2 linked regions of the Nothobranchius furzeri genome follow. The protein of the gene in region 1 interacts with the protein of each later gene in a pairwise test. Links are inferred from orthologs where the notes say so. Each region holds a gene or a part of one and is shown in the gene's direction. Other genes may lie near its edges.

The links.
Region 2: the proteins of ccdc174 (region 1) and eif4a3 interact in binary tests that used the Homo sapiens proteins (3 or more experiments, as listed by UniProt). The two-hybrid records come from large-scale screens. The link is inferred for Nothobranchius furzeri from reciprocal best matches to the Homo sapiens genes CCDC174 and EIF4A3.

The regions. Positions count from the first base shown.
Region 1 is NC_091743.1:48,526,737-48,531,226, reverse strand, and holds the start of ccdc174 (coiled-coil domain-containing protein 174), read left to right. Parts: upstream 1-1,445; 5' UTR 1,446-1,548; coding exon 1,549-1,590; intron 1,591-1,777; coding exon 1,778-1,888; intron 1,889-1,972; coding exon 1,973-2,073; intron 2,074-2,145; coding exon 2,146-2,204; intron 2,205-2,284; coding exon 2,285-2,438; intron 2,439-2,584; coding exon 2,585-2,680; intron 2,681-3,055; coding exon 3,056-3,192; intron 3,193-3,275; coding exon 3,276-3,370; intron 3,371-4,073; coding exon 4,074-4,227; intron 4,228-4,325; coding exon 4,326-4,478; intron 4,479-4,490. UniProt on the Homo sapiens protein: Probably involved in neuronal development.
Region 2 is NC_091746.1:29,295,517-29,299,338, reverse strand, and holds part of eif4a3 (eukaryotic initiation factor 4A-III), read left to right. Parts: intron 1-902; coding exon 903-983; intron 984-1,078; coding exon 1,079-1,220; intron 1,221-1,300; coding exon 1,301-1,439; intron 1,440-3,822. UniProt on the Homo sapiens protein: ATP-dependent RNA helicase. Involved in pre-mRNA splicing as component of the spliceosome. Core component of the splicing-dependent multiprotein exon junction complex (EJC) deposited at splice junctions on mRNAs.

The DNA.
Region 1 (4,490 bases):
CTTCAGGACCTCCATCTTCATCCCACACACACATTTGGACTCAAGTGCTTTTTATTCAGAGAATGTTATTCCTGTGACATTTTCAGTTAGTTTGTTGGTCATAGAATTATTAGTTTTTACGTCGATGTGTTTCCCGCAGGGAAAATGTACGTTGAAACCTGTTTTGCCAGGTCCCTGAGAAAACCTCATTTAAACTGAAGAATGCAGGTCAGCACTCACACTCAGTTTAAAGCTTCAGTAAAAATAAAGATGGACATCAGAGCAGTGTGTGATCTGGTTACTGAGATGTAGGTAGTGTTTTTGTTGCCTTTACCTTTTGTACCTGGTGTCCAATTCACCAAACTCTTAAACATCTAATTATATGGATGGGCATCGGCTAGCAAGCATCTTCTCAATCATAGAATGTAAATAAGTCCTTTATAAATGTCTATATAGATGTTTACCTAATATAGAGGACAACACTGCATATTTCTGAAACTGTTAAAGCTGTATTTTTTTGAATGGAAATGATCTTTTTTTTTCACTCACATCAGCCATTAAACATGGATCTGTTAAATCCTGAGTGAAAGCACTAATGAATTTATATATTGAGTAACATTGGGACTCATTTAAATGTATTTGTTTACTTCAAAACACCAGACTTTAAATTACTTTTTCTATTTAAATAGAAGCTATTGCTGCAGATCTGATGAGTGACTACATAATACTCATTTTAAACTCCGCTGAGTAATTAATCTGAACAATTGACTTCTTTTCACCATCTGAGATGAAACAAGTGATCATTAACATTGGTGGCATTTTTCATCATTGCACCAACATTTTTATTTTCATTAATTACAAAAAGCACTTTGTATTTTAATTATTTTTCTTTTCCTCGTGTTTATGAAGTCCTACTAATCCCAAAGACAAGTGAAATTTATAATGCACACCTAAACATACAAATTTGTGTAAACTATAAATACAAGTTATTGAATACACAAATCCTTCCATAAATGCCAGAATTTACAACATGTTTACTCATTGTTTCACTAATAATTACCATAGCTGTTTCATGTAGGGACACTGTCCGCTGCTGCACATCTTAACTTGACATTTTTCCCTATTTTTCATACATTTAGGAGATAATTTGATCAAATTAGTTTTGGTAGTGGGCTTTTTAACTGTGCTTTTTATTTAATTATAAACATTCACACTCCAGACTTGTGTTCTACATTTAGTTTCACACACACACACACACACACACACACACACACACACACACACACACACACGCGGCTTTTTATTCTCAAAAACAATCTCTTCCTATCGAGTAAGGTATTTCTAATCAACAGAAAAGGAAACCAGCCACAAGTAAGATTAATCAGAACTTCAGGAGCGCCTTGTCAGACGTTTCTGCAGATTCAGTTGTCCACCAGAAGGTGGCGGTAATACAACCCACTAGAATGGATAAACACCAATGAAGAAGTCAGACGGCTAATAGCGTAGTGGGTAAAATAGGCTAGCACATCCATAACTGAAAGATAATGATTAAAAATATAAACAATCAACATGGATAAAAAGAAGAAAACATTGGACGTAGCTGCGTCATCGGTGAGTTTCCTGATTTAAGGATTTATAAACTTATGTGTGATTTTCATCCAAAAAAAAAATAAACAAAACGATTAACTGGCTAGTGTTTACTGCGAAAATGTTGCTAGCTACGACGATTTACAGCTGGTACAATATGCATAGGGAAAAATAAACACCCACATAACTTCATTACTTTTGTTTATTACAGTTAGTAGATCTGAAAGCGGAGCTCTACAGAAAACAGGAGCAGTTCAAACGGGAGAAACTTGGCCAAGAAAGCTCTGATGCTGGACACCGAGCTAAATCCACAGCCAATAAGGTACAGTTTTAGGTTTTACTGTAGAGGACGTTTAAGTGACATGGAAAGGTTTATAAGTCTCAGTCCTTTTTTTTACCCTGACAGAAACCAAATATCTGGAGCAAACAAAATGCTGGCGTGTCAGCAAGAGCTGCGAAAGACGCAGAGCAGCTGACAGAGGAGCAGATCAGCCTCGACACAGCCAGGTGAGTTCAGAGTCACAGCCAGGATATTCAGCAGATCTAAACTTATGACTGATCCTATCTGTCTCACAACAGGCGCAAGTTGGAGGAGAAGGCCAGACTCTATGATCAGATGACTAAAGGAGACTTTCCAGGTTGGTGGAGTTAATCTCCTTTATATTTATATGAGCAAGTTCCACTTGCAATGTGTGAATCATGTGTTTTTAATCTCCAGATGAAGAGACAGAAGCCCTTTACCTTGTTGACTTCACCCAGAAGATTATTGACAAACAAAAAGAAACATTTGCACCGAAGAAGAGGGAGCAAGAAGATGAGGAAAGAGAGAGCCTGTCCCCTATTCCTCCTCCTCAGAACCCAGATGAGGAATGGTAATAGATTAAATTCATGAGTTTACTTTGGACACAACAAACTGATCAAATAAATTCTATTGATTAACTTAGCGTCATGTCAGCAAGGTTAATGATGTTTAAACTGAAAGTCTTGCATTCCAGATAAACCTGATGTTTCTCTGTAGGGTTGATTTTGTGGACGCTTTGGGACGATCTCGAAGATGCATGAAGAAAGACCTGCCCAGTTTTCAGAAACTGGACCAAGACATTAAAGGAACAGGGTAAACATTTCAGTAAATCAGAAATTTCTGCAGCTGTTTCTGTTTTTACAGTATTTCACTGGATGTTAGTTTAAAATACTCTGAAATGACCCAACCTAAAGGAATCTAAGTTGTTGGTAAACTGAAGTGTATAAAAATCACTTATCCATAATGTAAATAAAAAGCCCTGATCAGATAAAAGAGGAAAAGGTTATTTTCTCCAGTTGTTGTACTTGCTTAACTTTTTTTTGGTAAAACAACATGTCAAGTTGGAGCGAGTGTTAATAAAAAACATCAGTTTACGACTTTTATTCAGCCTTTTCCATATAGTTTTAGATTTTGTCTTTTAAATGTCTTTAACAGGATAAAACACATTCTTATGACTGTTTCCTGTAGAGCGATCACTTCTGAGAACACCTTACTCTCCGAGGACATGCGCAGAGAGCTGCAGAGGCGGGAGTGGGAGAGGGAGGAAGAGGAGGCAATGAAGAGGCCCGTTGGACCTGTTCACTACGAGAATATTAGAGCACAAGGTCAGTATCTGATGGGATCAGATCAAAACGTTTTGAAGCCTTTATTTTTGTCAGAAACAAGAGTCTTTCTCCCTCCATTTTAGAGGCCCGTGACCTTGGTGTGGGCTACTTTGCCTTCGCCCATGATGAAGAGCAGCGCAGAAAGCAGAGGGAAACTCTGGACATGCTCAGAGACCAGGTGTGTGTTGGTGTTGAACTCATTCACTGCCAGCCGTTTCCTGATCACTAACGGCCTTCGCTGCCAGCGTTTCTCACCATTTTTACTGTTTTTTTTTTTTAAGAGTCACAGAACGTTGCACGCTAGCATGATGTCGATGCCAAAACAACCAAAACAAAGCGGAGACTCTCCTCTTACATCAGGAAGAATCCGCGTGTTTTCAGCGTTATCCGTTCTTTCATAATCCGTTGTCGAATTGTGATCGGCAGACGCTTTTCCGGTTCGCGCCTCACTTTTTTTACAGGAACGGCCCAAAACGATCTCCAAACACATGGATGTGTTGCTTCCTGATCACGTGACGTGATCGGCTTCAGGGCTGAGATGTTTGTTCTCTCAGCGCGGGGGCTCGTTCTGATTCTCAAACAGTAAAAAAATGCAAATGACGACTTTAGTCGTCATTGGCAGTGAATGAGTTAATAGCAACAGGAAACTTGATTAGATGGTATGTAAGAAAAGGTTACAAAATGAGCAAAGTGTTTTGGTTTGTAAAGTTCTTAAATTCAGAAACAACCTTTTTTCTTATTGTTCTTCATAAACTGGACCAGACTTCAAATGCTTGTCGAGGTTTTCTCTACTGCCATAATTATTGTACACTTCTCAAAACCAATGCATTAAGTAATCCTAAATTAGGTGAATAATTCCTCTCTTCCTTCCCTCCCTTCAGACCACAGAGCAGCGGACTAAGAGAGAACGACTCAAGGACAAGAGGAAGGCCATCCTTCAGGCTCGACTAGCCAAGGTGAGGCAGAGGAAGAAGAAAAAGGGAAAGCTGGATGGCACTGAGGAGGACGAGAACGAGAAGGAAGAGGAGAATCCAGGTAAGCATCCACATCCAGTTCATCTGCTGTTGAGGTCAGATTTAGTGCTGCAGGTTCATGATCAAGAGTTGTTGGTGAAAACTGGTTCTGTGTTTCAGGAGAGGATGAAGAGGACGAAGCTGTCGGACCCACCCCTCAGCCAGATGTACCACCAGAGGCCAGCATTCTTAGGAAGGTGGAAGTGGAGATCCAGGAGAGGAGGGACACCAAACCAGGAGTTCCACATGTTAGAGAGTGGGATCGGGGCAAAGGTGAGCCTGAGT
Region 2 (3,822 bases), on another chromosome or scaffold:
CGGAGAGAGACCAACTCTTATCTGCCCCTGGGAGCCCCGTAATGCATAGCGTCATTTCAACATGGCGGTGTCCGCGACACGGTTTATATGCAGGTAGCGGCGCTGCGGCTGCTTTATATAGCGACTCGTTGCGTTCTCCCTCAACCCAAATCCTCGGATCACACATTTGAGCTAAAACGCTAACGTTAGCTTGCCTTGCGTTGACTGTAGAGTTGTGGGTGATGGTCACGCAGATGTGTCATGAGATTTGAAGCGTTGCTGCCTTTCACAGACACTTTTTCTGCACGTGCTGCAAACAGGATAGCCGTCTTCCATAAACTCCCTCGGCATTCTTCAAATATCTAAAATATGCCCGTACTTCCGACTTTGTCTTCTTTGAGGGATAATAAATGTCCTCCTGAGCGCTGCCGTCTCCTCCTTTGACCATTATTTCAGCTTTAGCTTCAAGAAAGTTTCTTTGTAAACAAAGCGTGCGTCTGTGCCGCCGGCAACTTCAGCCGATGATACGGTGGCTGGTAAGGGTCACCGCGCCTACACCGCAGCCACGGTAAACCCATTGAGATAATAATAGTTTTTTTTAAAAACAAGACTGTTATTATTATTGTCAACCTTTTTTTTTTACCGGGGTTTACCGCTACACTGGTTACCGTGACAACTCTACCTGATCGGATTGCTTTGATCTATTTTGAAAATTCCGATCAAAACCGATAGGGGCGCTATCGGCCAATTACGATCAAATACCGATCCATCGGTGCATCCCTATCAGAAGTTCATTTAGACCCGGTCCGATCAGAACTGGGCACCTCATTGCGTCATGACCATGTGATCTGTTTTGCTGAATTGCTCCTGGCTGATTGGTCGATGATGTCAGAGTTGATATCTGACCGCTTGTCTCTTCGCAGATATGATTCGGCGCCGGAGTCTGAGAACCCGGGCCATCAAGATGCTGGTTCTGGATGAAGCAGATGAGATGCTGAACAAAGGTGAGGCTGAGCAGGTGGACCGCCTGGATGGACTTGGATCCACCTGGTGCTGGTCGCCAGGAGTCCCTCAGCACGTGTCCGTTTGTGCCTTTCAGGCTTCAAGGAGCAGATTTACGACGTGTACCGGTACCTGCCCCCGGCCACACAGGTGGTCCTGATCAGCGCCACGCTGCCGCACGAGATTCTGGAGATGACCAACAAGTTCATGACTGACCCGATCCGCATTCTGGTCAAACGGTGAGTCAAGAAACTCGTCGGGTCCAGGAGTTGGTTCAGAATGGAGCCGACGTTGGTAAAGTCCGCTGTCCTTCCCCCAGTGATGAGCTGACCCTGGAGGGCATCAAGCAGTTCTTTGTTGCCGTGGAGAGGGAGGAATGGAAGTTTGATACTCTGTGTGACCTCTACGACACGCTGACCATCACTCAGGCCGTCATCTTCTGTAACACCAAGAGAAAGGTCAGAACCCACACAGGTCCTTGTCCGATGATCTGATCTGGTTTTGCTGTTGCGCTAGTCCAGTTATTCCCAACCAGGGGTAAACGTACCCCTAGTGGTACGCGAGCGCGTTACGGGGGGATGTGGAATTATTCATATTTAATTTCCCAGATGATGCATCATCCCATGTTGGCTGTGCCCTGGTTAAAAACACCAGGCTGGGATGTGTTATGCTTCGTGAATACGCAGATGTAGTAAGCTTTGGGTTTTTAAGGAGTCTGATGTTGAACAGAAAACCTCTTCAATAAAATATTCTTGTTGACAATAAAGTCTTATCGCATTGACAGCTCTTAACGCTAATTTCTTTAAAGGAGACATAACATGCTTTTAATTTATTCCTTTTTACATCTAAATCCTTCAGTTGGGGTCTAAATACAGTCGAGCTGCAGTACTTTGGTCTGATTTCCTCATCGTTGCTCCACAGACCCTCATCTACCCGTTCTGAGGAGAGTCTTGAGAACGAGCCGTTTTTGGGTACTGTCTCTTTAAATCTGGAGAAGGAGCTGTAAGCTCCGCCCCCCCTCCACAGTGCAGACCTGTACTCTCCTCCCCCAGTTGGACTTTGTAGTTCTATAGAGAAATCATTATTTAGCATAGCAGAAACATTATATTAGCATTTTTAAAACATGTGGGGAGAGTTGTTCATCAGGCTGTTTCAAGGCTGCTAACTCTCTCATGCATTTGTCTGTAGTCTCACACACACACACACACACACACACACACACACACACACACACACACACACACACACACACCCGTCACAGCCGACTGAGGGACAAGCGAGCAGGCGCGTGCACACACACACACACTACTTTTTTCTTCTGTTTTTATGTATTTATTTATTTTATTTTTTATTTTTTTGCAGTAGTGTCATCAGCTTCTGGGTTTTAAGTGCTGCCACACAACCCTTCCTTAAAACGAGGAACAGTTCTGAGCTGTGTGGCCAAAATAACCAGACATTCTGCATTTTTCCAATAGGACTACAAAAATCTTGGCGAGAAGAAAAAATGGCGGATTGGCTCTGTGTTTAGCTGAGGGCCATGACCATATTTGGTAGTTATCATGACGGCATAATTTTCTGACGTAATAGGTAATTTGAAAAACTGAACGGGTGGACAAATATGCCCAAAACTTAATTATTAAATATCTAAATAGCAACTCTAGTGAATAATATAAGCCTTTTTGCTCACTTAGACACTTAAAATGTGAAACACACCGTGTTAATGGATAAAAGTGAGTTTTTCATGTTATGTCTCCTTTAAATGCCGTTCGTTTATTAACACATGATGAACACAGACTTCCAAACCTTCTGCCAATCCTGTGATTTAGTTTCAACTAGAGGCTGACCGATATGGGCTTTTTAAGGCCGATACCGATTTTTAAAGGATTTCGTTGCCGGTGGCCGATATCTAAATCTAATTATTAAGACCGATACAAATATACCTTTTAGCAGCACATTGTGTAATACCAATGCCCCATACACCGGCACTACTGGTTACTGCTGCGGGTGGTGGTCTTTACGTGTGTTTAAAAGAATTGCAGCTTGTGTTTATTTCTGATGATGTTTATTATTTGTCTTCTTGTTCCAAAATGTCCATGATCCGTTCACAGCAGTTGAAGGGTTTCAAATGAATGCGTTACTTGCTCCAGTGACAGTCCGCAGAGCCCGTTACACACAGCCACAGTCCTCGCCACACAGTAAAACACTGTTTGTCCCATCACAGCAACACCTGAGTCTCATCTGTGTTGGCTTAAGTAGGCTGGTGCTTCCACAATCAATCGACCAATCAAATGAGGCCAAGCCTCCTCTCAGGTATGCAGAAAGAAAATGAAAACAACACAAATGGCTCCTACACGTTGATTGTGAAAGACAACCAAACACTCACTGTGTGCAAAATAAATTAAATAAGTCAATAAATCTCTTCAAATGTAAAACAAAATCAAAACATTAAAAAAAACTGTGTTGGGGTTCTTCGGGTCCTTTCTTAGTCTAGTAGCGGCAGCAGCTGGCCACACAGGTGCCAGATTATTATTTTTTATCGGCTTTTAAAAATAATTTTGACCAGTGGCCGATATAGAAAAACTGTTATTTATCTGCCCGACTGTGATCCGTGCCTTTGGTACCTGCAGGCTGGATTATCACAACTCGCTATATGCGGGGCTTAGGCAAGCGCCAATAGCACGCCTCCAGGCGGCTCAGAACTCGGCTGCTCGGTTGTTAACATCTACCAGGAGGTCTGAACATATTACACCAGTCCCACGTGCCTTGCATCGGCTCCCTGTCTCCTATCGCATCAGGTTTAATGTCTTCCTGTTTGTGTTTAAGGCGTTAAACTCAGGGGCA